7 linked regions of the Solanum lycopersicum genome follow. The protein of the gene in region 2 interacts with the protein of the main gene of each other region in a pairwise test. Links are inferred from orthologs where the notes say so. Each region holds a gene or a part of one and is shown on either strand. Other genes may lie near its edges.

Evidence for each region.
Region 1: the proteins of protein BREVIS RADIX (region 2) and protein SENSITIVE TO PROTON RHIZOTOXICITY 2 interact in binary tests that used the Arabidopsis thaliana proteins (3 or more experiments, as listed by UniProt). The link is inferred for Solanum lycopersicum from reciprocal best matches to the Arabidopsis thaliana genes BRX and AT5G22890.
Region 3: the proteins of protein BREVIS RADIX (region 2) and XRN4 interact in binary tests that used the Arabidopsis thaliana proteins (3 or more experiments, as listed by UniProt). The link is inferred for Solanum lycopersicum from reciprocal best matches to the Arabidopsis thaliana genes BRX and XRN4.
Region 4: the proteins of protein BREVIS RADIX (region 2) and histone deacetylase HDT1 interact in binary tests that used the Arabidopsis thaliana proteins (3 or more experiments, as listed by UniProt). The link is inferred for Solanum lycopersicum from reciprocal best matches to the Arabidopsis thaliana genes BRX and HD2C.
Region 5: the proteins of protein BREVIS RADIX (region 2) and serine/threonine-protein kinase D6PK interact in binary tests that used the Arabidopsis thaliana proteins (3 or more experiments, as listed by UniProt). The link is inferred for Solanum lycopersicum from reciprocal best matches to the Arabidopsis thaliana genes BRX and ATPK7.
Region 6: the proteins of protein BREVIS RADIX (region 2) and probable WRKY transcription factor 12 interact in binary tests that used the Arabidopsis thaliana proteins (3 or more experiments, as listed by UniProt). The link is inferred for Solanum lycopersicum from reciprocal best matches to the Arabidopsis thaliana genes BRX and WRKY12.
Region 7: the proteins of protein BREVIS RADIX (region 2) and RING-H2 finger protein interact in binary tests that used the Arabidopsis thaliana proteins (3 or more experiments, as listed by UniProt). The link is inferred for Solanum lycopersicum from reciprocal best matches to the Arabidopsis thaliana genes BRX and AT1G49850.

The regions. Positions count from the first base shown.
Region 1 is NC_090810.1:57,597,878-57,600,953, forward strand, and holds protein SENSITIVE TO PROTON RHIZOTOXICITY 2, read left to right. Parts: upstream 1-1,133; coding exon 1,134-2,288; 3' UTR 2,289-2,576; downstream 2,577-3,076. UniProt on the Arabidopsis thaliana protein: Probable transcription factor. Together with STOP1, plays a critical role in tolerance to major stress factors in acid soils such as proton H(+) and aluminum ion Al(3+). Required for the expression of genes in response to acidic stress (e.g.
Region 2 is NC_090807.1:62,143,750-62,145,963, forward strand, and holds the end of protein BREVIS RADIX, read right to left. Parts: intron 1,820-2,214; coding exon 1,690-1,819; intron 1,332-1,689; coding exon 1,027-1,331; intron 904-1,026; coding exon 825-903; 3' UTR 501-824; downstream 1-500. UniProt on the Arabidopsis thaliana protein: Acts as a regulator of cell proliferation and elongation in the root and shoot. Regulates roots architecture and primary root protophloem differentiation.
Region 3 is NC_090803.1:40,188,037-40,192,252, reverse strand, and holds the start of XRN4 (protein ETHYLENE-INSENSITIVE5), read left to right. Parts: upstream 1-1,416; 5' UTR 1,417-1,682; intron 1,683-2,063; 5' UTR 2,064-2,101; coding exon 2,102-2,293; intron 2,294-4,216.
Region 4 is NC_090809.1:63,872,713-63,876,764, forward strand, and holds the start of histone deacetylase HDT1, read right to left. Parts: upstream 2,801-4,052; 5' UTR 2,657-2,800; coding exon 2,644-2,656; intron 1,464-2,643; coding exon 1,393-1,463; intron 1,288-1,392; coding exon 1,070-1,287; intron 921-1,069; coding exon 892-920; intron 810-891; coding exon 771-809; intron 692-770; coding exon 543-691; intron 1-542. UniProt on the Arabidopsis thaliana protein: Probably mediates the deacetylation of lysine residues on the N-terminal part of the core histones (H2A, H2B, H3 and H4).
Region 5 is NC_090801.1:70,586,936-70,591,071, reverse strand, and holds the start of serine/threonine-protein kinase D6PK, read right to left. Parts: upstream 2,801-4,136; 5' UTR 2,096-2,800; intron 1,670-2,095; 5' UTR 1,649-1,669; coding exon 633-1,648; intron 1-632. UniProt on the Arabidopsis thaliana protein: Protein kinase that regulates the auxin transport activity of PIN auxin efflux facilitators by direct phosphorylation. D6PK-mediated PIN phosphorylation promotes auxin transport in the hypocotyl and this is a prerequisite for PHOT1-dependent hypocotyl bending.
Region 6 is NC_090800.1:79,427,830-79,432,017, forward strand, and holds the start of probable WRKY transcription factor 12, read right to left. Parts: upstream 2,801-4,188; 5' UTR 2,573-2,800; coding exon 2,261-2,572; intron 2,142-2,260; coding exon 2,068-2,141; intron 1,118-2,067; coding exon 956-1,117; intron 1-955. UniProt on the Arabidopsis thaliana protein: Transcription factor. Interacts specifically with the W box (5'-(T)TGAC[CT]-3'), a frequently occurring elicitor-responsive cis-acting element.
Region 7 is NC_090800.1:90,933,205-90,937,394, reverse strand, and holds the start of RING-H2 finger protein, read right to left. Parts: upstream 2,801-4,190; 5' UTR 2,752-2,800; exon of another isoform or gene 2,663-2,751; 5' UTR 2,619-2,662; coding exon 2,379-2,618; intron 707-2,378; coding exon 513-706; intron 1-512. UniProt on the Arabidopsis thaliana protein: Probable E3 ubiquitin-protein ligase that may possess E3 ubiquitin ligase activity in vitro.

The sequences.
Region 1 (3,076 bases), on a different chromosome or scaffold from region 2:
GAGGAGATAGGACATCCCGATAAATTTTTGAACTTTCGGATACATCAGCAGACATCTGAATATATACATGGTGAGAAAAGTATCGGAGAAGATTGATGTATTGACAGGGAATTTTTTTTTAAATGGTAGAAATTTTAAAGATTATAGTAAAACAAAATGTGTATTTAGGTAAATTTTTCATATGCACACGCACTTTATTAAATCACTAATAACCAAATTATAAATTATATGAATTTAATGTAATTAGTCAATACGATACGAGTAAGTATTAATCGATATATTGCTTATGACATAAAATATTACAACACATTAAAAAAAATGTCAATAATCCCTACCTAAATAAAGTGACATTTTGTGGTTAGATTCTTCATTCCCAAAAGATTGACTTAATTTAACCAAAAATATGACAGCCCTAAATCCCAAATATAATTAATACAAATGTGGAAATGGTCAGTATAATATCTATTTTAATAAATAAATCTCTTTTAATTAAAATTGCAAATTCATGCGTGAAGCTAAGGTTGACACTAATACTTTGAACAAAAATATATATATCTTTTTAATAAAACCAAACACATAATTGATGTCCAAACATGTTATAAAAATAACAATTAAATATGTACAAGTTTGTGTCTCTACCAACATGGTCGTTATGGTGATGAAATGATTGAGATCTCTCTGTTCTTAATCCTTACGTTTGAATTTGGGATAGAAAATTTCGTTAGAAGCACCACCTCCATATATAATTAATGAACACTGCAAAACGTATATTCAGATTTAGTCAGACTCCAATACAAATATCAAATATCAAATTAAAAAAAAAAAGTTAATGTCCTTACATATGATTATAAAATTTCTCTTTCACCTTTCACAATAATTTTGTCTTAATGTAAGACTATGGTAGTATTTGAGGGAGGTCTTAAGTGGTACTTCATATGATTTGAATCTCAAAGTTGACTTACATTTATATCACTATTTCTTTCTGACTTATTATTTTTTTCATTACCAAAACGTCACAAAAAGAAAAAAAAAATTACATTATTTTCTTCCCCTTGTTATATGATCAAAAATTTTGAAGAAAAAAAAGTGTGTGTGTGTGTTTTTTCTAAGAGAAAATTTAGGGTTTCTTGAAAATGATTCAAGGTACAAGTAGTAGTGCTAATAATCCACAAAACATACCATTATATTCATCAAATCATCATCCTAATAATAATATTCAAGAAGATATATTTTCTTCTTCTTCTTCTTCTTATCAACAAAATTCATTTTTATTCAACTTATCTCTTCTCAAAGAGAAGGTTCATCAAGTTCAATCACTTGCCACCATGTTCATTACTCCGGATAATCAAACGATTATTCACCCTCCTCCTGAGTCAATATCTATGATCATCGCGAATATGGGAACTTTGATCCAAGAAATCATCACAACTTCTTCTTCCCTCATGTTTTCTTGCCAAAAGATTGTCCTCGACTCTACCTCACTCAGTCAAAATTCAAGTAGATATCGCGAACCATCTCAAAATGATGTTGGTCATGGTCAAGGTCAAGGTCAAGTTGATCATTTGCTACAAGATTATGATTGGTATGTGGATAATTACAATTCTAATTGTAACACACATGAAGATAACAAAAACCATGTTACTAGTAGTAGTACTATTATAGCTAGTAGTACTATTAGTCATGATAATTACTATAGTAAAGAATTTGGAAAAAAGGAATTATTATTGAGTACTTCAAAAGGTAAAGTTGTGAATGAAGAAAATAATTATGATATTGTTGAGTTAGATGCATCTGATTTATTGGCAAAGTATACACACTATTGTCAAATTTGTGGTAAAGGGTTTAAAAGAGATGCAAATTTGAGAATGCATATGAGGGCTCATGGAGATGAATATAAATCTAGTGCTGCATTGAGTAATCCTATGAAGAGAATCAACGATTTAACGAGTGATGGATCGTTGAAATCAAGTAGTAACACGATTAAATATTCGTGTCCTCAAGAAGGTTGTAGGTGGAACAAGAAGCACGCGAAGTTTCAACCATTGAAATCAATGGTGTGTGTGAAGAATCATTACAAGAGAAGCCATTGTCCTAAAATGTATGTGTGTAAGAGATGCAACAAGAAGAGTTTCTCTGTTTTGTCTGATCTTAGAACTCATGAGAAACATTGTGGTGATTTGAAATGGCAATGTTCATGTGGTACTACTTTTTCAAGAAAAGATAAGCTTATGGGGCATGTATCTTTATTTGTTGGACACACTCCACTTATAAAACAAAGTGCAAGATAGCTAGTGCAACAACAACAACGATAAGTCGATAACATATATCAGAGTAGTTCTACGAGTACTTATGCTTGACGAGGGTAGAGCATACACATGTCATATACTATCTTTAACCCCTGGGGTAAAGAGATTGTTTACGAAAGATCCTCAGCTCATATGAGCTAACTAGCTAGTAGATTTTATAATTTACTTAATTGATTTGTAATTGTAATGCACCTATTTTTTGTTGCAAAATGTTGATGTGCTTGTAATTTGATGAATCAATGTGAAAATTAATTATCCTAGCTTGAAAAATATATCATGCCCTTGTGAAATATGAGAAATATAGTATAATAACTTTGTATATTAAACTTATATTGCAACCCTACCTAGTTGCGTATTCTAATGAACAGTGAAGATAAAACTTTGAATCTAAAATCTCTATATGCTTTGGTGCCATGTTGAATTTAACTTGGTAAATGTTTCAATATTTATTCACTTATTAGTTGTTCTGTTATGTACCTTTTTAATTTTAATTTCTTTTGTATTGAAGTGCTTTGATGAAGTTGAAAAATGTGTGTAGCTTGAAAGACATATTCTACCTTGTGAAATATGATTAATAACAGTAACGTATAGCTTTATAATATTATATATGTATTTTCGATATGATAAAAGATATTTGTGAGACTTGAATTCAGATTAAAATATTACCACATATGAACACTTTATAACTAAAACCATAATAAGGCTATAGAAATGACACATCGTAAATTTTGCTAAATAGATATAAAAGATAAATTTTGCTACATATCTTA
Region 2 (2,214 bases):
GAAAAGATTATGTTATTATGACAGGCCAAGCTTGCTTGCTGAAGTTGCAGCTGCATCATGTCTTTTCATCAATAAAACATGGAATTTCAACTCTAAGATGGGTCTTTGCCCCTATTGCATAAACGTTTGATAAGTATACCAAGTGCCCCTTCACTAATGAAGTAGATCTACTACTGCTTGGCTCTTACCAAACATAAAGAATTCTCTCTAATATGCTAAGCTTAAACCTCAATGATCCTTTCATTAGCAATTTAAACTTAATAAATCCCTTAACTAAAAGGTTGGGATACTTGAAAAGGCGGGGCTTTCTACTTAATACTGGGCAAGGATAAGCCTTGAGACATGGGCCTTGAACTTCCATTCTGTCCTTTAGTCTTTCTCCGGTTTGGAATTCATTGCATAAAAGATAGACAATGGACAACCACATTATTATCAATTGAGAGTCGATAAATGCCAGTGAGCTATAGATATTGACAATAGTAATGCTGAAAAGCAGTATGTTTTGCATCATCTAGCATTTGGTTCAACTAAATTTTTAGAAAGATTATGTTACAAGGAAAACAACTTGAAACCTTTAAAGGAATTCATGAGAGAATTTGCAAGATCATGTATAACTAGAGATCAAGAAATGCCATGAAAATTGCTAAATGGCCAAAAGTGATTTTGTTCGGTAGAATGGAGCCATTCTATCTGAACTAATATAAATACTTTTAATATAAGTATCTTGTAATGATCTCTGTTTCAGCTTCATCACATCCAAGAGGCAAAAATTTTCCCTTTTCCATGGAATAATTCTTTTGTTCTGTGGATAGAAATTTGTTGATTTAAAGGTATTGAGATTGTATTCTCTCTCTGTTCTGTTCCCACCACAGCTTTGCGTGCACCTCCCCGAACTTCTCCCGACTGTATGAATGTAGAGAAAGTTGTAAGAAAATGTCCAAAATGAATACAAATTTCAGCAAAATAGGTGCTCAGCCTTTTCAATCATGTCTTGAGTTCATTTACACAGTTGAGATTTTGAAATACCTGAATCTTACACGTCGTAGCTCTCTAGTGCCATCAACTAGTTGTCTGATGGTTATATACACACCAGGCTCATCTTGTTCTATCCATTCTGACTCCATTTCACTGGCATTACTTACAGAAAGTGAAGCTTCATCCCTAGAGTCTGTAGTTGTCCTTGACGCATCCATATATGACATATCCCCCTTTGGTAAACCAGTTGATCCAGATGGTTTATGGTAATTGCTTGGTGGCCAGTCCTTATTTGTTGCAGGGGTCATCATAGGGCTTTCTATCGCGGATCCAAGCCTCGAATAATTGGAATCTCTCTGAAGAAAAGAATCTCAGGTATATCAATCTCCAATCTATTATTTCCTTTAGATCTTTAAGCTATTATAATTGATCCTTTATCGAACTTGATGAGTTTAGAGTCGTTTGAATCAAGTAAATTTAGTGCTGTTATTGATTTTTAGGGCACAGAAGTATAACTTCTTGCTGGTAAAAAATAGAAGATGACTTGATGAGTAGAGCTGGCTAATTACTTGATCAGGGTAACAAGCTCATGAAGGGGAAACCGGTTAGCTAAATACAAAGTATTTCGGTAAATTTAGCAGATAACTGAGTTAATGTAAATCAAAGGAGAAAGAAAATTGTTATGCTTAGACAAATCAAATCTAACTGACTTACTCCGTCCTCAGACCTTCCAGGTGTGTTAAGAGCTTGTTTGTTGAATCTCTGAACATTGTAGAGCTCCATAATTCGGTCATAATTCTCACCCCACCATCTTTGAGCTTGCCATTTGTTGAACATATCCCGACTTCAAAAGAACCCAGGGATATTTATTGTCAGGACCATCAAAGGGTGTTTCAATAAGATACACATAACACTGATATTTTCAATAAGGATAGGAATAATACAGATAGCAAGTGGACAATTTGACAGCTTATCGGGCCACCTAGAAAGCTACATAACACGGATACTTTCAATAAAATAGGTCATCATTTCAGATGGCATTCAAAACACATCAACTAAGTAATAAGAATGGCACATGTAGTAAGTAAGATAATTGAAGGCTCAGTACTAAACAAGTGAAATATTTTAGTAGACATGACTCTTGAGGGAATAAAGAAAGGGGAAACTCAATAAGAATTCATGAATGAATGAAAGGGACTAAACATTGGCCTAGGATAAGATTAGGCAAAGAAGCTTTCA
Region 3 (4,216 bases), on a different chromosome or scaffold from region 2:
TATCTCAAAGAAACCCTTCTTGATTCTCACATTTCTTCAAGGTAAACTTCCAATTCAGGGTTTACTTTTTTTTTCCTGAAAATTTCTTCAAATTCTCAGAAAGTACAGTTATTGACAAATTGGGTGCTTTTATAGTGAGGCAAGCTTGGTGGGGTTTTTTCCTTTCATGGGTGTGACTTGGTCATTGTAAAAATCAATACACAGGAAAAAAATACATGATAACAAAAACACAAAACAGAATTTTTCAGCTCCATTTCTCAGAAATCATATGTATGACAAACCACACGCCAAAAGTGAGTAAATGAAGCAAATCAAAAAACATTATCGGCATAAATCGAGAATTTTTTCAGTTGATTTCGATTTTTCAACATATTATCGGCATCATTCGAGAGAAAAGGAAGAAAGCTAATAAAAAAATAATCGAAAAAACTTACTTCAAGGTTTATCTTCACTTCAAATTGGAAGAAGAGGAAGAAGTTCAGCAGCTGCCAAGCGTGAAAAGGGAAAAATAGAAGAAAAGGGAAAAATGGAAGAAAGATATGTTAGGGTTATGTGGGTAATTTGGAGATTGTATAAAAATAATAAGGACAAAAAGGTAAAAATATGGTTAACTTAAAACAGCTTATAAACTAAAAAAAACCCTACCCCAACTTTTAACTTTTGGCTTAAAATAAGTTTTTTTTTAAAACTTAAAATAAGTTATTTTGAGTATTGCCAAACAACTAAATAAGTCAAAAACCAGCTTTTAAGTCAGTTTGACCAACTTTTAAGCTGAGCCAAACATACTCTAAATAATGGTATAAACGAGGAACATTTCTAATAAAAATTATGGCACGAATCACAGTGGATACTATTTTAACCTTACCCCGACTAGTATATACATAGACAAAAATGATATACAATGTTATGTATTTTTAATAATAACGTATTATACACGTTATGAAAAGAACTAAATGATTTTATGTTACAATAGCAAAACTTGATTATATAAAGAGAAGACATATAATGTCATTTATGTTAATGAAATACTTGATACACATAATTACTATAGAAACCATCCCATATCAATTACAATAATGTATTAGAATGATGAATTACATACAAATGTACATCTGCGGCATGGTACAAAAAACAAATTATGTGCTACAAAACATATTACTACTAACAAAGAAATTGACAATACAATTAATATTGATACATATTGATTAGGACAGAAATTATATTTAACACAACCAAGTAGTCTTACAACTTATAATGCATTCATAATTGGGTTCACGCGAGTTGTTTCCCTAATATGGTATAATATTATAGAATGTTATATTTAATTATTTTATTATATAATAATAATAATAATAATAATAATAATATGGATTAAATGTATTTTTATTTATACCTCCCGAAGAGAAAAGGGAAGAAAAAGAGAAGTGAAGGCAAACAAAGAGTTCCATACGGAGAAGAGAAGAGAAGAGAAGAGGAGACGAGAGGAGAGGAGAGGAGAGGAGAGGAAAAGCCAAACTGATTCATAGCTGTTGTGGCGATTTGTTGAGCTTTCTGAAATTGATTTCACTTTTCCTTAAAATCTGCCCTTCTCTGTCTCTTCTCAAATTGCATTTTTATGACCCTATTTATGTCCAGATTGATCGGTTTTTGAGGTGAATTGTGAAGTTCTAAAACCCCTTCAGGTGCACTTAGTTTTTGTTGCTTAAATTCATTTGGTTTTCTCGGTTTCTTTTCATTTTTTAAGACTATAACTTCCATGCTTATGTATTTGTACTTTTTTGCTCTTATTATTACAAGTTGGAAAACATGGGTGTTTGCTATTATTTTTTTATCAGAAGAAGAGTTAGCTCTATGTTGCTTGTACGTGTTTTTTTTTTTAAACAAAAATCTTACCTTTTGACTAATTCTAGTTCAATCAGTAAAATATTTTGATTTCTGTAACCTGTTGTTCAGATAAAATGTTGGTTTGCAAAGCTTTAAATTGATGTGAAGAATTTAAAGTTGACCAGAAAGATGCTCACTTGTTGATCAAATTTTTTGTTACTGTTCAATATTTTTAACAGGTAGTTTTAATTGACTGAAGTTGAGCTAATCAGACAAAATGGGAGTTCCAGCATTTTATAGGTGGTTGGCTGATCGATACCCACTCTCAATTGTGGACATGGTAGAGGAAGAGCCTAAAGATGATGTTCCGGTGGATATTTCAAAGCCAAACCCTAATGGCATGGAATTTGATAACTTGTACTTGGACATGAATGGCATCATTCATCCTTGTTTTCATCCTGAAGGAAAGGTGAACAAGTATTTCTTTTTGAAAGTTCTCCTATGAATTTATTTGGTATTTGATATACCAAATTCATCACGCTTATGCACAATGCATGTTTCAGTTGTTTGACATGTAATTTGTTAGTACTTATATAGCTTTTCTATGTTAAAAGGATGTTATTCTTTTGTGACTGTAATTTGTTTAACTTACTTTTAATGAAGGATAATGAGTATATATGTTAGTCATAGTATCTACATTAGAAGCTTTGAGTAAGCTATAAAATAATGTTATTTGGACAGCTGTCCATGTCATTACAAGAACACTCCCCTTTGTGCTGTACTTGTCAAAACTAATTAAGATCATTCAATTGAGTAAATTTTGGACCAGTAAACTGTCATCCAGATTCAATCTTCTTTTCTCCTGCCTAAGTATGTAGGGTTTGGGATAGGAGAAATAACAGAAGGACCTGCTTGTTTCCTCTTTCCTCTTGGAGGACTTTTGTTTCTATTGGAAGGTTATTGGAAAATGTCACTCAAATTCAAAGGACCATACTGGATCACTTTAAGTACACTTTCATTCTTTAAGGTTGGATTTTTCTAGCTGAAAGTCAAAATCCTAATGTTAGGTTTTGTTTGGGGGGGGGGGGAGGGGGCTGGGGAAGATAAAAAGGGGGTAATCAGGAGATATCAGCGATGGGAGCTGAATTATGTTCTGGTGGAGGCATCCACCAAAACTGACAGGATCATAGGTGAATGTATTCAAATAATTATGGCAAAATAGATGATTGGGGGAATTCATGTTATTTTTATAGGTAGAAGTGGGGGTATTGTAGTAATGTGGGATAAGATGGTGTGGAAAGGAGGTGATAGAAACAAACCAATGGTAGCCTGCAAGTTTGAAGGCATTAATCAGGTTTCTTTTAGTTGTGTATGCCTCTTGTGATCCAATAATTAGAAGAGAACTTTGGAAAGGGTCAATCAACATCAAAGAAGAGAGTATTGGGCCTTGGATAGCTTGTGGGGATGTCAATGCCAAAAGATACCCATATGAAAAGACCAGAAGGGCACGTAATGACTCAATGATTGAATTCTCCAAGTGGAACAATGAGATGGAGTTCATTGGCCCTTCTTTATTTGGGGGGTCCTTTACACAGTGAAGAGGGGACAATCCCATGTCAACCTCCGAAATTGGTAGGTTCATGTTCTCTTCCCCATGGGATGATACCTTCACACAGATTATACAAAGCCTACTTCCCACAGTAGGTTTAGACTACAATCCAATTATAGTTGAATTTGGAGATTTAAATTTAAAGCAATCTTACTTCAAGTTTGAACAATGGTGGTTTAGGGTGGAAGGTTTCTTAGGGTGGAAGGTTTCTTAGATAGTTAAAGAATGGTGGGCATCTTTCAATAGCACTGGTCCTAGCTTCCAAGATGAGAAAGCTCAAGGGAAGCTAAAGGAATGGAAACTGGAGTATAAAAATAATTGGAACCAAAGGAAGAAGGAAATTGTTAGAGCTTGTTTGGATTAAGCTTATTTTAAGTGCTTTTATGCCAAAATAACTTTTAAGCATGTTTGGAGTGTTTTAGGTGTATTGAAAAAGTGCTTATAAGCACTTGGTTTTATGCTAAAATGATAAAAATAAGCCAAAACCCATAAGTTAGAATTTCTAACTTGTGACTTCTGGCTTACAAGTCAAAAATCAAAAGTTAATCCAAACAAACTCTATATCAATTATCAGATTTTGAAAAGCCTTATGAGTTGAGATTAGAGGATGAGTTACTCCAAAGACTACATCTTTCCAAAGAGTTTGAAGACGTCTTGAAAAATGAGGAAATAATTTAGAGATAGAGGTCCAGAGTGTACGACTGAAACATGGAGATCCAAAAAAATTACATCTTCCCATAGAGTTTGAAGATGTCTCAAAAAATTACGAAATGATTTAGAGGT
Region 4 (4,052 bases), on a different chromosome or scaffold from region 2:
TGGTAACTCAATTTGACAATTCCATTTCGGCCTATATTTCTAGAACCAAATAGTATCTGTTATTGGCTACTCAAAAGTATGTTTAGTAGTAAGCAAAGATATTAAAAATCAATTTCATCCATTAATTTTTACCGGGACAAAAGCCCCTAAAATACTTAAGAGTTCAGTGATATCCTTAACAAACAATTGTGTTGCATCACCCTTATCAAAAGAAAATTCTCATCAAAAATTTGTTTTCCAAGATCAATTCTTTTAAAACCAGACCTACACTGTGTTCTGAATACCAAATGCAAATCATATCCTTCCGAAAAATCTTTAAGAGTTCATATCTTGATGAACACTCAAGTACCACAGGTTGAAAAACATATTTAAACAATTTGGTTGGAAATTGTTGAACAAGCTCAAACTGGTTTTTTTTTATGAAGTAACAAACTCAAATTGATTTTTGTTGCTTACCCAGACATTTAAAAAACCTTTTATTGATAAACATATGTTATAACAATACTATAAAGCATTGAGCATAAATTAGATGATAAGCATACCTCCCCCATCATAGAATCATCTTCATCCGCAGACTCATCAGTGCTCTCATCTTGATCTTCCGCCTTGTCAACTTTAGTAAACTCTATAACCCTCACCTTCTGCTTAGTTGAAGCAGAATCCTTTGCACTAGCCTTGGCTTCAGTCTTTCCTGTTAAACAGGTAGGCAATACTTTAGAACTAAGAAATAGCAGATCAAAGACACAAGTATATAATAAAATTTTATGTACCATTGTTTGCAATTGAAAGGGGTATTTCCTCATCAGACTCTGCACACAATAAAATATCAATTAAATCTTCGCCTAATTCATCACAGCTTAAATATGCTCAAACAGAAAATTTTGTGCTTACCATCTTCAACTTCATCTACATCCTCCTCAGTATCACACACAATTGTAGTCAAGGAAACAAAAAGAACTTGAAAAGTTCACCTCTTTTAAATGGAAAGGAAGGGAGCAGTAGAAACTAGAAAGATAGGAAAGTTCATGTGAACAAAAGATAGAAGATAACAAACAACAGAAAAGGATATTCCTCGAATGGGTTGGCAGCCTTGTATCCAAAAAAGTAGACGCTACCATTTTTCCAGTTGTGTGATAGTTCAAAGTCTCTATCAAAAACCAGGTCAAATTGTTGTTGAGGCAGCTTATCTAAGCTGAGTGTGCCAAGAACAAGCTTCTTGCCATCAATAGTTACAGACAAGCATACAGGTTCTGATGCTTTATCCTTTTTCACCTCACCAAGAGATGCCTAAAAAAAAGAATACATTGATAAAAATACTAAAAAGAGATGCCAACAAGGTATTTGGCTATTGCAAATATTTGCCTATCAAATTCAAGTGACAACTTAACACACCTGTGAAAGATGCAAAACCATGTCATCTCCCGGCTGTACAGATAAAGGTTGTCCACTTTTCACCTCCGCACCTAAATGTAAGAAAATTTAAAACAACTGCCAAATATTATTCCAATATAAAGTGGGCATCAAACACACTAATACACAATGGATGAAAAATCAACAGCCGAGCACACATAACAGAAACGATATTTTTTACAAGACAATTATTACAAAATAGTTTAGGCACAAAAGTACATTCAAATTGTATATGAGACCCAACAGAACTTCTGACGCATGGGTTCTTGAGCTATAATAATATCCAAAAGACATGTGGTCATCAAAGTAAAGCATATGAAGGTAACTCCAAATATTAAAATTAGAAATTGAGCCTTTATCACATCAAACACTTGAAAAATCATTTCCGCGGTTCCAAGTAAATCCCTGATTCTGAAAGAGCTAAATCAAATACCCTACTCTACTCTCCTATACAGAGGAACAGAAAATGAACACAAAGAGTGATGAGAGAATCTATGGCCAGTTGGAAACACTACAGAGCCATTTTTTAACTGTCAACACTAAAGAACCATATCCAAAGCAGAGTGTAATCGTATATAGGCAGCATTGCACTTCAACACAAACATTTTCTAGTTATTTCCCTCTCACTCTCTAGTCTCTACCATGGCAATGCTGAAAAATACATTGTCTGGGATTCTGTCACAAAACAGTACAACAACAACAACAATGTACCAAGTGTAATCACACAAGTAGGGTACGGGAAGGATGGTGAGCAGCATTATCACTACCTTGTGCACAAAGAGAGGCTGCTTCGATAAATACATCTATCATAACAATAACATAACTAGAGTGTACGCAGACCTTAACCAACAACTAAGAAGTAACCAACAACTAAGAAGGTAGAGACGTTGTTTCCAATAACTACAGCTATCACAAAACAGTAAATAACAAAAACAAAATGAAACATAACTTAAGTTTGATCTCAAATTGACGAGCTGTGAAATTTGCATACATGTGTACAAATTCAGGCATTCAGTCATAATATACTGCAGACGTGTTTGATCAGAATCACATAAACATCGAAATCATAATAAACAATGAAAATTGAAACAGCGAAATAAATAAGCAATAAATACAGCATGTAACACCACGAAACAAAACATTTAACAAACAGTCATCGAGCAATACAGATTATCAAAACAATCAAATGATAAACAGAGAAAAACCAAATAGATTGAAATACAGATAATTTACCCCAAAATTCCATTGCTGATTACGCAGAAGATAGGAGAAACAAACTAGGGTTTTAGTAGAGAGCGAGCAATGGAAGCAAATTTTTAGGTTTGCAAGCGGGAGAATTGAGAGAGAGAGGGGCTATTATATACTATGTTTATTGTTTCCCATGCTACCCTCGTGTGCATTATTGGTATATTAATACTGCTCATTTGAAAAAAAAAATATTATAGTAAAATAAAATTGTGTTTGTATACGTATAATTTAAAAAATTGTTAGAAATTTGACAATTTTAAAATTGGATCAAAAATCAAATATTTGAATGTATAAAATTTTAGATATATTGCATATGTTTTGATTGTTCTATCACAATGTACAAAATTATTAGGAGATCATTGATTATGTCGATATTATCTAATGATTTATTGTGAATATATTTAAATTTTAGTATAAGAAAATATGTTTAAAGCCTAAAAAAATCTATTTATAAAATGATGCAAATTAATTGTCCGGTATATTGTTAATTTAAAATATAACTTTAGTTACTATATTTTTAAAATGACATTGAAACAGTAGTCATGCATCAATCCAATCTAGAAAGTATATTGTTAAAATCAATAATTCTAACACATTTAATAGTTATATAGTCTTTTTTAATAAAGATAAAACTTCAAGCAGTATTGTATGAGAAGACACATTTAATAGTTATAGTCTTTTTTTCTAAAAGATAAAACTTCAAGCAATATTGTATAAGAAGATAAATCTCGTATAACTCAATGCATGAGATGAAGTTAAAAAATAAAACAGAAACATTATGAGCAAAATATAAAAAACCTACAAAAATTAAATAAAATAGTATTTAAAAAAAATGTGTGTAAAAAGTTGAAATATACGATAATTTCATATGGTGAGTGTATGCTAAACAAGATAATTAGGTTGGTATAATATGAAGTTATATAAATTTATCATGCTTTATAATTTAAAATCATGTCGATTCGATATAATATGAAATTCTATTATCTAAAATAATATTTGTGTCACATTTATAAAAAAAAAGTTTGTTGCTTGTAACATTGAAATCATAAAAAATTATATAAATTGTGAATACTCACTCCAACAAGACAATTATTGTGAATATAACACAAAATCAAGTCAATCTTAATTGTTATTGTTTACAAATTTTAAATTCGGTTTCTATTATTAATATCAATAAACTTTAAAAATTTTCTCATTAAAAAGTCATTAAATTTTAAAATATCAATTTCCTCCAAATATTAAAATCAAAAATAATATTTAAATTTTAATTTTAATAACATCACATAAGTACCAATCACCCCAACAAATTTAACATCTTTAAAATTTTATTTATTCTGAATAAAGAGACGATATAAATTATTTAGGCCAAATAAGATTAAAAAAAAACTTGATAG
Region 5 (4,136 bases), on a different chromosome or scaffold from region 2:
TATCATTGATTACGGTAGATGTAACGTCTCAAGTCTATCTGAATGGACTTATCTTTGGTTCCTACGAAACAAACTACTCGGTTATATTCAATTCCCTTGGCCCCAGCTAACAAAATTTTAGAACATTATACCAGTCAGTTTCCAAATGACAGTGATGAATACGAGCATGCAACTGGAAAACAATATTTGCTACTGGGACTGCACACAACAAGAAAGGTCTGAACTCAATGTTGAGAAAAATTACAAAAGGCTAGGAAATAAGCAACATGTTTAATTGAAGAGATATCAAGGCAAACATACAGATACGGATCTAATAAACAGCTGGGGAAAAAAAGTCAACAGCTATAAGCACAGAGCAGTGGATCTCACTCATCATTGTTTGAGCGCAATGCCTAAAGAGGTGAGACAGTTAGAAGAAGGCATATATGCACAGGATCTTCCTTGCATAATAGATTAAAGTCATTTCCACTATTATGAACTTTTAAGACACTTAAAGCATAACGATGATGGTAACAGATTGGTTTATACAGGAAGCAATGTTAAAAGTTCTTTATTCATTAAGATCGCAGCGATAGTTGGATATTTTGAACACAAAGCAAAGAGGTGAATATGATATGCGGACAAACACTAACCTGGCAGCATGCTCCGGGAAGAATTTTCCTGGCTGCTTTTGCCTAAGTGCATGCAAATCTCCACCAGGGCAGAATTCCATCACCAAGCACGAAAATTTATCTGTTTCAAAGTGCGAATACAGTGTTGGTAGAAAGGGATGATCCAGAGACTGCAGTATCTCTCTTTCCGTTTGAGCTCTCACGAGTTTCTTGCGACTTTCTAGAGCTGCCTTGTCCATCACTTTCATGGCAAAGAAACATCTTGTGCCAATCAACTCTGCTAGAAAAACACTTCCTATATCACCACATCCCAATCTCTTCAACAGTCTAAAGTGGTTAAAACCCAATGTTCCCTCACGGGCTCTAATAACTTGTATTGCATCCCACCTTGTATCATTTGCCTTATGTGGTTTATATACTGTGCTATTGAAACTACTAGAGCTGCTTTCATCACTAACGTCACTACCTGTGCTGCCTCTGTAGAAGCTTGTTTTTCTGCTCTCAACAAGATCACAAGAGTTGCTAACATCACCACTTTCACCAGACTTGTCCACAGTGCTGCTAGCGCATTCACTGACTTCTGTGTTGGAAAAACTTTGTTTGGCTTCTGTGTACTGTGTAGCAGAATAAAAACTGTTTTGAGGACTAGGACAGTAGGTGATTCCTGAGTCTTTGGCAGTCGCATTCAAATCATCGTTTGAAGTACCATTTTTCGAAACATGATGTAAATCCTTGATAGATGATTCAGTTTCCAAAGCCAAAACCTGTTCTCCTGAACAACCTTCTGCTGATTGATTTACAGTATCTTCATTTGCTTTAAAATGCTTTGAACCAGTCACTGATCCAGTTTGAGTATGAGCTACGGTGGAACCAAGGTCCATCGCTATTGGATATGAGATAGATGCCTCTTTGTTTTCGGATTGTTTCATCAAAGGAGGATGACTTATCTTGGAGGCCAAAGATGTATTGCACTCAACCGCAGCGAATGAATTGTGAACGTTCGGCAAGGAACTGATTCCATCAACAAGAGACTCCATTGTAATTTTTTGGTATAAACACTGTCATTACACAATTAAAAGTGAAGAAAAATTAGCTACTTAACAGTTTGACCATGAATACTTTTTACTCTTTCCCGGAGTTGAATTCTGGAGATCATTTTTGGCTTTAAATCCGAAATTCAACTTTTGAAAAATACCAATATCATGGTCATATATAACTCCAATTTCCATTTTGAAAACAAAATTAAATACTTTTTTTTTCAAATTTCACAATTTTCAACTAAATTTTGAATAATTTTACCATAAATTGATTCGGTCATCTCATAATGTAGCATTGATTACAAAACTTTACATAGAATTGCAGTAAAATCACAGAATTAAATGATCATAGAATTCCACCAAAAGGATCAATGAAAAGATGTATATCCACAAATAAATCAAAAAAAAAAAAAGTGGACAGAGAGAGTAATAGGTTGTTGAAATCACCTGATTATCAAATGGAGAAAAATGAATGATGTGCCATGATTATTGAGACCCTTTCCACTTAAAAAGGGTAACAGCTTTGCACCTTTTTCTTTCTGGGTCCTCTCCCTTTTTCAGATCCGATCGTAACAATAAAAAGAGTGAGTGACTAATTATTATATTTGGATACAAACAGAGTAAATGAATCAATCAAACAAAACTCACAACAAACAAATGAAATAGAATAGAGCTTAGTCAAGAAATTGATACATAAGATTTTCTCTCTCTTTCTCTTTCTATATTTTACTCTGTTTTCTCCTTCATCTTCACCTTTTCTTGTTTTTGTAAACGCTTATATTGTAATCATATACGCTGCTTCTTTTCTTCGGTAAACTACGAAAACAAAAAACAAAATATTATTTCGTTTCAATTTATTTGTCTTATTTATTTTATTAAATGCACAGTAATAATATACACTAGTTTTTAATCATTGACTATTATAACTTATAATATTAATATTTTACTGCTATTTTTGTTAATACTTACTTTTAATTATTGATAATATATGATATTTATAAAATAGTAATTATTTTTTAATTATTAAATTGAATTTATTATTACTGCTGATTTTTTTGTTTTCTGCAAATATTTTGAGTGTGACAGAGCCTCTGAATTTCATACAAGTGAAAAAGCATGTTTTCATTAAATAGGTTGCGATTTTAAAAATTCAAAATTCTAATTTGAAATATACAATAAATTCCAGGTACGTTACCCAATTGAAACCATATGTGCCAATGGAAAAAATAGAATCACTTCAATTATTGTTTATCAATCAATCAATAATATGATAAGATAAGATGAATAAAGAGACTTGAAAATATATATATACGTACAAAAAAAACTGTCCCAAGAATAGTTGTTTATCACATTTTTGCATATTGCTCCAAGTTTTGACATTATATGACATATTTGTTATGAAACTTAAGTTTTAGTAAAGGCTATTTTAAAAAAGAAATCATACTCAATCTTAATCTTTTAATACTATAATAACATATGTCATTTAATTTTAAAATAAAAATAAAAAAAGGTGACAAAATTCTGATGAATATCAGAGCAACTGTTTCTTCAAATTGAATCATCCGTATTTATATGTCAATTATTAAGTTAAAAATATTTATTTATTTTTAATTATTCAGTTTAAAAAATAATTTATATTTTATGCATATTTTACTTTTATTTTTACGTATTTTAATTCATTATCAACATTTTATCAAGTCAAACATGAACGGAGGATGTAATATTAGGAGTTAGAGGTTGTTTTGTACGCGAAATAAGATAAAAAATAGCGAAATAAATTTATACAACTAAATAACTATAATAATTTCAAAATGAATTAATACCGATCTCAATGAAATAAATTGGTCTAAAATAATTTAATTCTCGTATCAAATCATCTCTCAGTAATGACGTGTTTGACTTGTGTTGCTTGAAGGTCAAAGCAATTCAAAGGAAGCTACTTAGTTGTGCATATTTCCAAGCTACGAATAACGTGTGTAAACAAGCTACTAAGTAACATTTATTGGCTTTGTTATATACTTTTAAACTTTTAATAATCCATATTCATCACCTTTTCCCCTTATTTGAATTATATTCGAAGGAAATCCTTTTAGATTATGATTTAATTTCTATCGCTAATATAATTGAAATTGAAGTTTGAATTATTTTTAAAAAAATTGTATAATCTTACGATGCATATTTTTTATACATATATTAACTGTAATCAGACTAATATCTCAGGATAATTGAGCTTTAATCGTTTATCACTTGATTATAAAATTTAAAATTCAAAAATAAAATAGTACTTTTTACCCTCGTCCTAAATGCCATTTATATATTTTCAAGATTGGATAAATTCCAACTTTATTAGAATGATAGTTTTTAATTGGGTAGACTTTTAACTATTAGTGGGATTTTTTCCTTTATGCTTTACTTCTCTTTTGAAAAATTGCACATTCTTGCCTTGTAATATCAGCATAAAAAATAACTACTAAAACAAGTATCTTCA
Region 6 (4,188 bases), on a different chromosome or scaffold from region 2:
TTTAATATGTATATATATTCATTGAGATCTTAATATAAGTATATTGTATAAACAAAATTATTAAATTCAATTGATATGGACTTTTGGGAAACACGATTTGGATTTATAATTCATAAAATTATAATTCATTCAATTTATTTATGTTTAAACATGTTAATAGTTTCTTTTTCTATTCATTGGATTTGTTTTCACTCACTTAGTAAATTCATTTTAAAATTAGGCTAGCTTGTCATTTAAATTGACCTATAACAAATCTTATCTAAATATTTTTTTAAAAAAATAATTTTTTATTTGATTTATTTATATAGTCATAATATTAGGAGGAAAACTTAATAGGTGCTCACTAGTCATAAGAAAACTAACTTTGAATTTAAAATAATAAGAATCGAGCCATAAGTTGGGTTATGACTCAACTTTTAGATTATTTTAGCTCAAACAATATTTATGTGGATAAATGACCTATCTATTTATTAACTAAATTTGATTAGCGTTCTTAAACCTAATCCAACTGGCCTATTTAACGTTTCTAATCACAGAGGAAGATAAAATAGTACTCATTGCTAACAGTATCACACATTCTTTTAATGATGCATAGCAAGTATTTATAATATTTTTGTTTTTAACCAAAAAATAAATTCAGATTCTTTTTGTCTTAATTTTTACGATACAGTTTAAATTTGGATCGATGAACTTTTTTTTATTTTGATTGTACATTTTAGACATACAATTATAATGTTTTTGAAAAGTAAATTTATATATTATGAAACTATATAATAAGTATCCATTTAAAATATCTCAATGGCATATAAATAATTCACGGTTGTCAAAATTGACTTTAGAAAAAGAAGAATAAATTGTGGTAAAAGATTTTCATATTTTAACTTTCGAAATCTAAAGTTGTCATATAAATTAAGACAGATGTACAGACTCTGAGTACTTGATTATGATTAGGTACCTGGGATGAAGGCTATTCTTGACAACTTTCTGACCATATTTTCTCCATTTATATCCATCATCAAGAACATCAATGTCACTCCTTGTTTGGAAACAAAATCTTGGTTCTCTTAGCTTTCTTCTTATCTTCACTTTTCCTTTGTCTGAAGATGAACTCTTCCACCTTACATAATTTAGAAATGAAATAATGTTGCTTGCTAGTAAAATGATAAATTGATGAACTTATATGACAACAATATAAATTTATATATACTTGTGCTAGCAAAATAAATTAAACAAGTCTTATCATATGTGAGTTGAATTTTATCATGATGTGGGTACAAATATATTTATAGTTGAGCATTATAATATGTATAGTGGATCTAGTTAGCACTTGTCCTTCTCAAAAATGCACAACACCCTAGCTCCACACCACATATTATATAGTACAAACCATAGTATTTATATACATACACACACTTTGAAATAGTGTCATTATTAAAGAGCAAGAGAGACATTTCAAGAAAACATGATAGCAAAAATCTATCTGCATGAATGCCTTGGTAGATCTCTTTTCAGGTTTTAATGTAAATCATTGAGAAGCTTCTAGATAGGTAGTACTACTAAATAGTGGAGTTGAAAATAAAAGTTGAAGACTTTTTTTTCCTTCAAAGTCTTTGTCGGAAACTCATTAGTCCGATTAATTTTGATATTCGTAATGAAAAATTCATAATCTGACTAACTTCAATTTACCCTCGTTTAATTAAATCGCACTATAAAAGTGCTCTATATTAGGAAGAGAAAATCATTCCCAAAGAGTCTAAACTCTAATTAAGTGTGATAAAAATTCTATTGTTCCACTATATGTTACGCTTCGATCTAATTATTTCTTAGATTATATAATGGAATAAATTAAACATAAAATAGAGAGATTAATAATTTTTAAAAAGAAATTGAAGAAGAAGAAGAAATTAAGATATTTAATCAAAACGTTTCCCCTTTTGTGAAAACCAAAATAAATCAAAATGTTAGAAGAAATAAAACATAACAAGCCGCAATTCATAGCGCGAGAATCGATGTAACATTTTTTTGAAAATAAATTAGTAAAAACGTTATAGAGAAATAAAATAATACCATGAATTGTTACCCTCACTGGCATTACCGCTGCAATTTTCGTCATTAATACCCTTGGGATCTAGTGTTTCCACCTACACGTAAAATTTAAAAAAAAAAACGAAGAAATTATTACGAAAGAAAATCGAGAAACCCTAACGCTTTTGCTACGTTATCTTTCACCAGCACAGATATACGAATCATTCGAATTTACCTGTTCGTTGTTGTTCCAAGAAGGTCTATTCACAAGTAATTGACTGTGACTAAACCCTAGACCACCAGCACCAGCAGCAGCAGCAGCGTTTGTATTGACGGCGGCAGATGGCGTAACACTTACGCTGGCGGCGGCGGCAGCTTGAAGAGAGTGAGAAGATTGTGACGAAGGAGGTAAGAAGGTTAAGTTGTTATGATCTGCAAAGTGTATAAATCCCAATTCATGATGAATATTATTTGTTGCTGCTGCGGCTGAGGATATTTGTAAATTATAATTGTTTAACTGATTTCTTTCTTCACTGCCCCTTTCCATTAATTCCTCTCACTTTTTTTTTCTTCTTCTAATATTCCAAACTACTTTTTCTTCTTTTGAACAATTACTTGTTGTTGTTGTTGATGGTGAATTAATTATTGAGGGATCGGATGTATTTTGTGAATTGCATGTATTCGTACTCCGTGTGGGGTTTCATTTTCAAGTAGAATGATGTTTTTTTTTTCTTTCACCAACATATATTGGAAATGGAAATATATATATATATATATATATATATATATATATATATTTATATATTTGGTCAACTGGTAAACGCTATAAGGAATGTAAGATCAAATATTATATATTCCCTCCGTCCCTATTTATATTTCATTTTATATTTGATTTCTATTTACTTGTCTATTTTAACAGATCAAGAAAGAACAAGAATTTTTTACCTAATATGTCCTTATTTAATTTTAGAAAATTTCTATTACTATTTTTATTACTATTAAGTTGTAATGCATACTTTTTGGAACCAGAAAATACGTTACATAATTTTTTAAATTAACGATAAAATTATAACTAACCTATGATAATAATTGATGCCTTAATATGTCCATCACTTCTAAAGTGGACAACTAAATGAGAACAGAGGGAGTATATATATATATGTGGAAAAAAATATTGTCACGGACAATTTTCTTCCAGAAGGGTTGATTTTTTGGGTTAAAGTTTAAAAAGTTTTTTTAGAAAAAAAAAGAATTTTGAAAATTATTATTTAAAATAAAGTCAGAATAATTGTGTCATTGTGTAATGTGTTTGGTACTTGGAAATAATTTACATAAGAAAATGATTTAGTGTTTTGTAAGTAAAAAAATATCATAAAAAATATTTAGATGTAATTTACTTTCATTAAGGAAGTCATTATCGTGAATGGGGTGGAATGGTCAAGGGGTAGGGAGTTGGGGAATTGGGAGGATGGGGAACATATAATAAACGTAGAATATTATTCATAGAACTTATTTTTTCTATTATCATTAAGGAAGTCATTTTCATAATTTTTAAGCAATTTGATTTCTAAAAGAAAATGTTTTTAAAAAAATTTGTCTAACCAAACATATGAAAATAAGAAAATGGTTTGTGGAAAATGTTATCTTAGATACCAAATAGATTTAAATTATTTCATTTGAATTAAAATAAATATTTAAATTAAATTGATACTAAATATAAAATGGATACTATCTTTTGTGACCTACTAGAAAAGAAAGTACATGAGGTAAATTAAAACCAAGAAAATAATAATACAATAATTGAGTCCACAAATTAATTTTCTATAGATGTTTAATTGATGAATTGTTTTAATACGTATATAAAATCTAAAAGGGAAAATTAGTGGATACACGTAAATGTAAAATTAGCATAATCCAAAAATATCGTGTTTGTGCCATGTATGGTGCAATATCCAATTCTGATTTCTGGGCATACCTCTTAATGAGTAAAAATACTCATGTTCAATTTTTAATATCAAGACAATAGATGTATAATATTTTCCAATAGAAATGTTTCACTCAATCATCATTAAGGAATATATATTCACAGTTTTTCTAAGTTATTTAGTTCTACGATAAATTTATTATAATAAAGAAAATTATTAATGACAATTAAAAATTAAT
Region 7 (4,190 bases), on a different chromosome or scaffold from region 2:
AGAATTTTAATCATATTGTAATAACCACCAGAGCAACTTACGAAGACTAGTGAGATATCATGCTAACAAGAAAACCATAATAGAAAACATAAGACTTGTAAGACTGCTGGGAAATTGACATCCTAAAACATGTCGTTTAACTTCTACAATGAGGAGGACCATAGAGGAGGAAGGGTCAGCAAAATCAACTAAACTTCTTACAAACCACTCAACAATGTATAGGAGCAACATATCTTAATAATCCTATGATGAAAGTCCATTCACTACAGGAAACTAACATATCCAGTAATTTTCATCTAAACATATGTTCATTTTAATCAGACAGCTCAAAGTTCATCAAGACCAAGCAATTTCATGTATGCTTCATCAGAAATTTACCCACTTAGAAATGTACTCTTACCCATCTCCGTATTTATTTAATCGAAGGAATTGTGGACATGCAATATCATAAACTACAATGGCCTGCCAAGAGAAGCTCATACTATTGGGTATAATGGATTCAAAATACCAACCTATTTCCAGATATAGATACACCTCTCAATCTCTGTAGAAGTCTTTCCCTTGCAAGTAGTACAGTACCAGGGAGCCGCTCGCTACCTGAGGTTCCCACCCTATCTCGTATCCTGTTATTGTTGTTTGTTGCATGATTGGTGTCTCCTGATGCAGCCTGGCTATTCGCAGAGTCGAGCGAAACAGAATCACGATCCTAACTTGTGAAAAAGGACCAAAATAATTAGCATCAATGTTTCAGGTCACCATCAAAGAATTGAAATCGACCAGAAAAACTAGGTGTTAAGAATTTATAACTCACATCCTACGACATTTTTGACCATCAAATCAGCAATATATGACACTAAACACGAAGCAATGAAATGTAACAACAAAAATGAATGAGCTAAATAAAAGTAATCTATCAATCGATTACAAGAGCACCAAGTACATGCTTGTACCATCTTATAAGTGAACATCAAAGCTGATTAATAAATTGTTTGAGGGGGGACGTAAAGATGTATCACATACATAGAGAAGTACATGCAGCACTATATTAAATATACAGGAGTCATACTTTAAGCACCTTATAATCAGGGTAATCCAGAATACAATGGCCAACACTTGGGCTAGGAAACAACCATTGTCTCGGAAATTCATACAGCTAAACCACACCGGGGCTGGCAAAAGTAAGCTGTCACAACACATTTGCTCGACTCATGCAACAGGGGACTTAATCTCAAAATGGCACACCACATGGCAATAATGACCTCAAAATATTGCCACCAATGGCAGGAATTAATTGGGAATGGAGCAAATCTCTTTTGTGATAACTAATGATGAAAAAAGATCCATATAAGACATATTTGAGATTTCAGCCTAATTGTTGAGTATTATTTTTGGTAGGTTCAAAAAATTAGAAGAAGTAACTATGAAATTGCACAAAAGCTTTATCATTATCGATACATTTACGGCATATCCCATGTTTGCCAGGATTTGTTTTAGCATGACTAGAGATTTGTATGTAGTGTAACGATAAGAATGAAAATAGAACCCTTAACTTTCTTACAAGCCAGACTACTGAGTACTACTAAGCGACGGACTCAAAGCAGATGCATAGAACTGCCCAACTCTAACTAGTTTGTATTTAATGTAGTTGATTGGTTTACTGATAAATAGCAAAAGAACAGGCAATAATTAACCAGGAAACAGAACAAACTTCTTATCATGATCAGTAGAGGAAAGTTAGTATTTTAATGGCATTGTACATAGTCCATACTAATACGGGAACAGGTGCAGATATATATGCCAGCCAAATAAGACTCTAACATTTACAGCAAGAAAATGTTGGATTAACGTAATGCAAGACTAATAATCAAGAACAACAAATCCAGATAATGTTATCCTGCAACCCACAAGTCCATCATCCATATAATCATCATAGGTGTTGAGTGTGATAAGGCAGGTACTATGTCAATTAAACGTCCATATCTGATTGTGGCACAATCTAAAAGATTCGTAAGTCTCCCGTTTGAAAAAATATTGTAGTATTATACAAGAATGCTGTGAACCAATTTATATTACTATCTACATTCACTACCCCTGTATCATATTTCATGTTTTCATCCTTTCCTTGCTTTAACTAACCCAGGCAAGAAATTATAGCTATAAAATGACAATCGGAAAATAAAAAAGGAAAGAATCCAGTGAAATGACAATTGGATTCAGCTAATTAACAATTCTAGTATTTAATATATGCATGTTGATCAATGTGACTCAAAAGCTTGAATATAATATGCCAGCACAACACAACAGATAAAGCAGCACCTAATTTTTTAATATTATCATTCTACAGTCTACACACCAAAAAAAAAAATCCAAAATCTTACAGGAGGCCAACGTCTAAGGCGGTGAGGAGGAGATCGGCGCAAGGGCTCACAATCGTTCACATCGACGCGATCACGGCGGGTATTATTGCCGGTTGGCTGGTGACTGTGATGATGATGGCGGCGATTACGAACGCTGTGGTTGTGAGAATTTCGAATTGTCGATAAATCCGACCCTAATTCGAGATCGCTTCGACCGTAACGAGACCTCCTAGTGAAAAATAGCTCTGAAGCACTCGTCATACAATTACAATAAGGTTTCTTCTAGTCTACCACCTTGCAATGCTCTGAGAATGATGGATATATATATACATACACAAAAAAAATTCACCAGTTATAGGATATTCCATTGAAACAGACAAGAAAAATCTCATACCTTAGGAAGAACCAGCGAAATGAGGAGGAAGAAGCAGATCAAGCGAGTCGGTCTAATTCGGTTACTAAATTGGTCATATGGATGATGCGAAAAAATAAATAAATGGGCTGGGCCTTCCTTACATCATTGACTCATGAGCCCAATGTGTTTATTTGAATTTAAATCAAACTAATAACCTAAATTAAATGGAATAGCTATGGTTTGATTTAATTGTGCTCCATAGCAAACATTAGCTAAAATTTGTCAGCATCTCTCTTCCAAAAATCTCGCTCGCCACTCTCCATTCTCGCTCGCCTCTCTCGCTTTATACACAGAAGTGTATAATTTTGTTTCTGTTTTGTATAAAGCGAGAGAAAATAGTATATACACATGCAAAAATGTATATCTTCGTGTTATACACTTAATATATAATTTACAAACATTTTACTTCAAATATTGCAGAGAAAAAGGCCAACGAATTATACAATTGCAGTGAAATACAATTTTCTCTAGCTTTATACAACAGAAGTGTATATATTGTGTTTGTGTTTTTGTATAAAGCGAGAAAAACATATATCTTCTTGCTATACACTTATAATTATGCAATATACATACATTTTAATTCGATTCAACCGTATGCAAAATAAATTATACAATTGCAGCGAAATAGGACAGCGAATTATACAATTTAGGCCAGCGAATTATGCAATTTAGGCCAGCGAATTATACAATTGTATATGTATAGCAAATTAAACAGTTTTATGTTTGCTATGTAGCGCAATTATGCAAAGTTTGCTATAGCATACAAATATGAATTTTTTGTTTGCTATATGTGAAAGTTGCCCTTATTAGTATATACTTTAATCTTAGAAAAACTATCTAATTAAAAAAAAAATCCTACTATAAAAACTTATTCACTCTATAATTTGAAATAATTACATATTGTCTAGAAATTAATAATTCCATATTTAGTTTCAAGACAGATAGACCACTCCTTTAGATTTCAAGTCAGATATATATGTACCAAAAGAAACATGTATCATTAAATCACACACAAATATGTATAAAATAATCATATATATATATATATATATATATATATATATAATATATATATATATATATATATAATACAAATATATATGAGGGAGACAAACAAGAGAGAAGAGACTTGAGCGAGAGAGTTAACATGTATATTTGATACCAAATACATTTTGAAATACAGATACACAAAAAGAGAGGCGAGTGAGGAGACATTATAGCCTAGATACATGTGAATCATGTTTAAATGCAGTGCATAATTATACCTATTTTGACTCACATGTATTTGAGGTATCTGTATCTTTCGAAATAAATATAGTATGAAAGGTAATTTCAAAAATTAAAGTGAAGGCATATAATACAATCCTAAACTAGTGAAATTTGTATTATTTGCTCTTTAATCTTTAGTACTAAAAGGT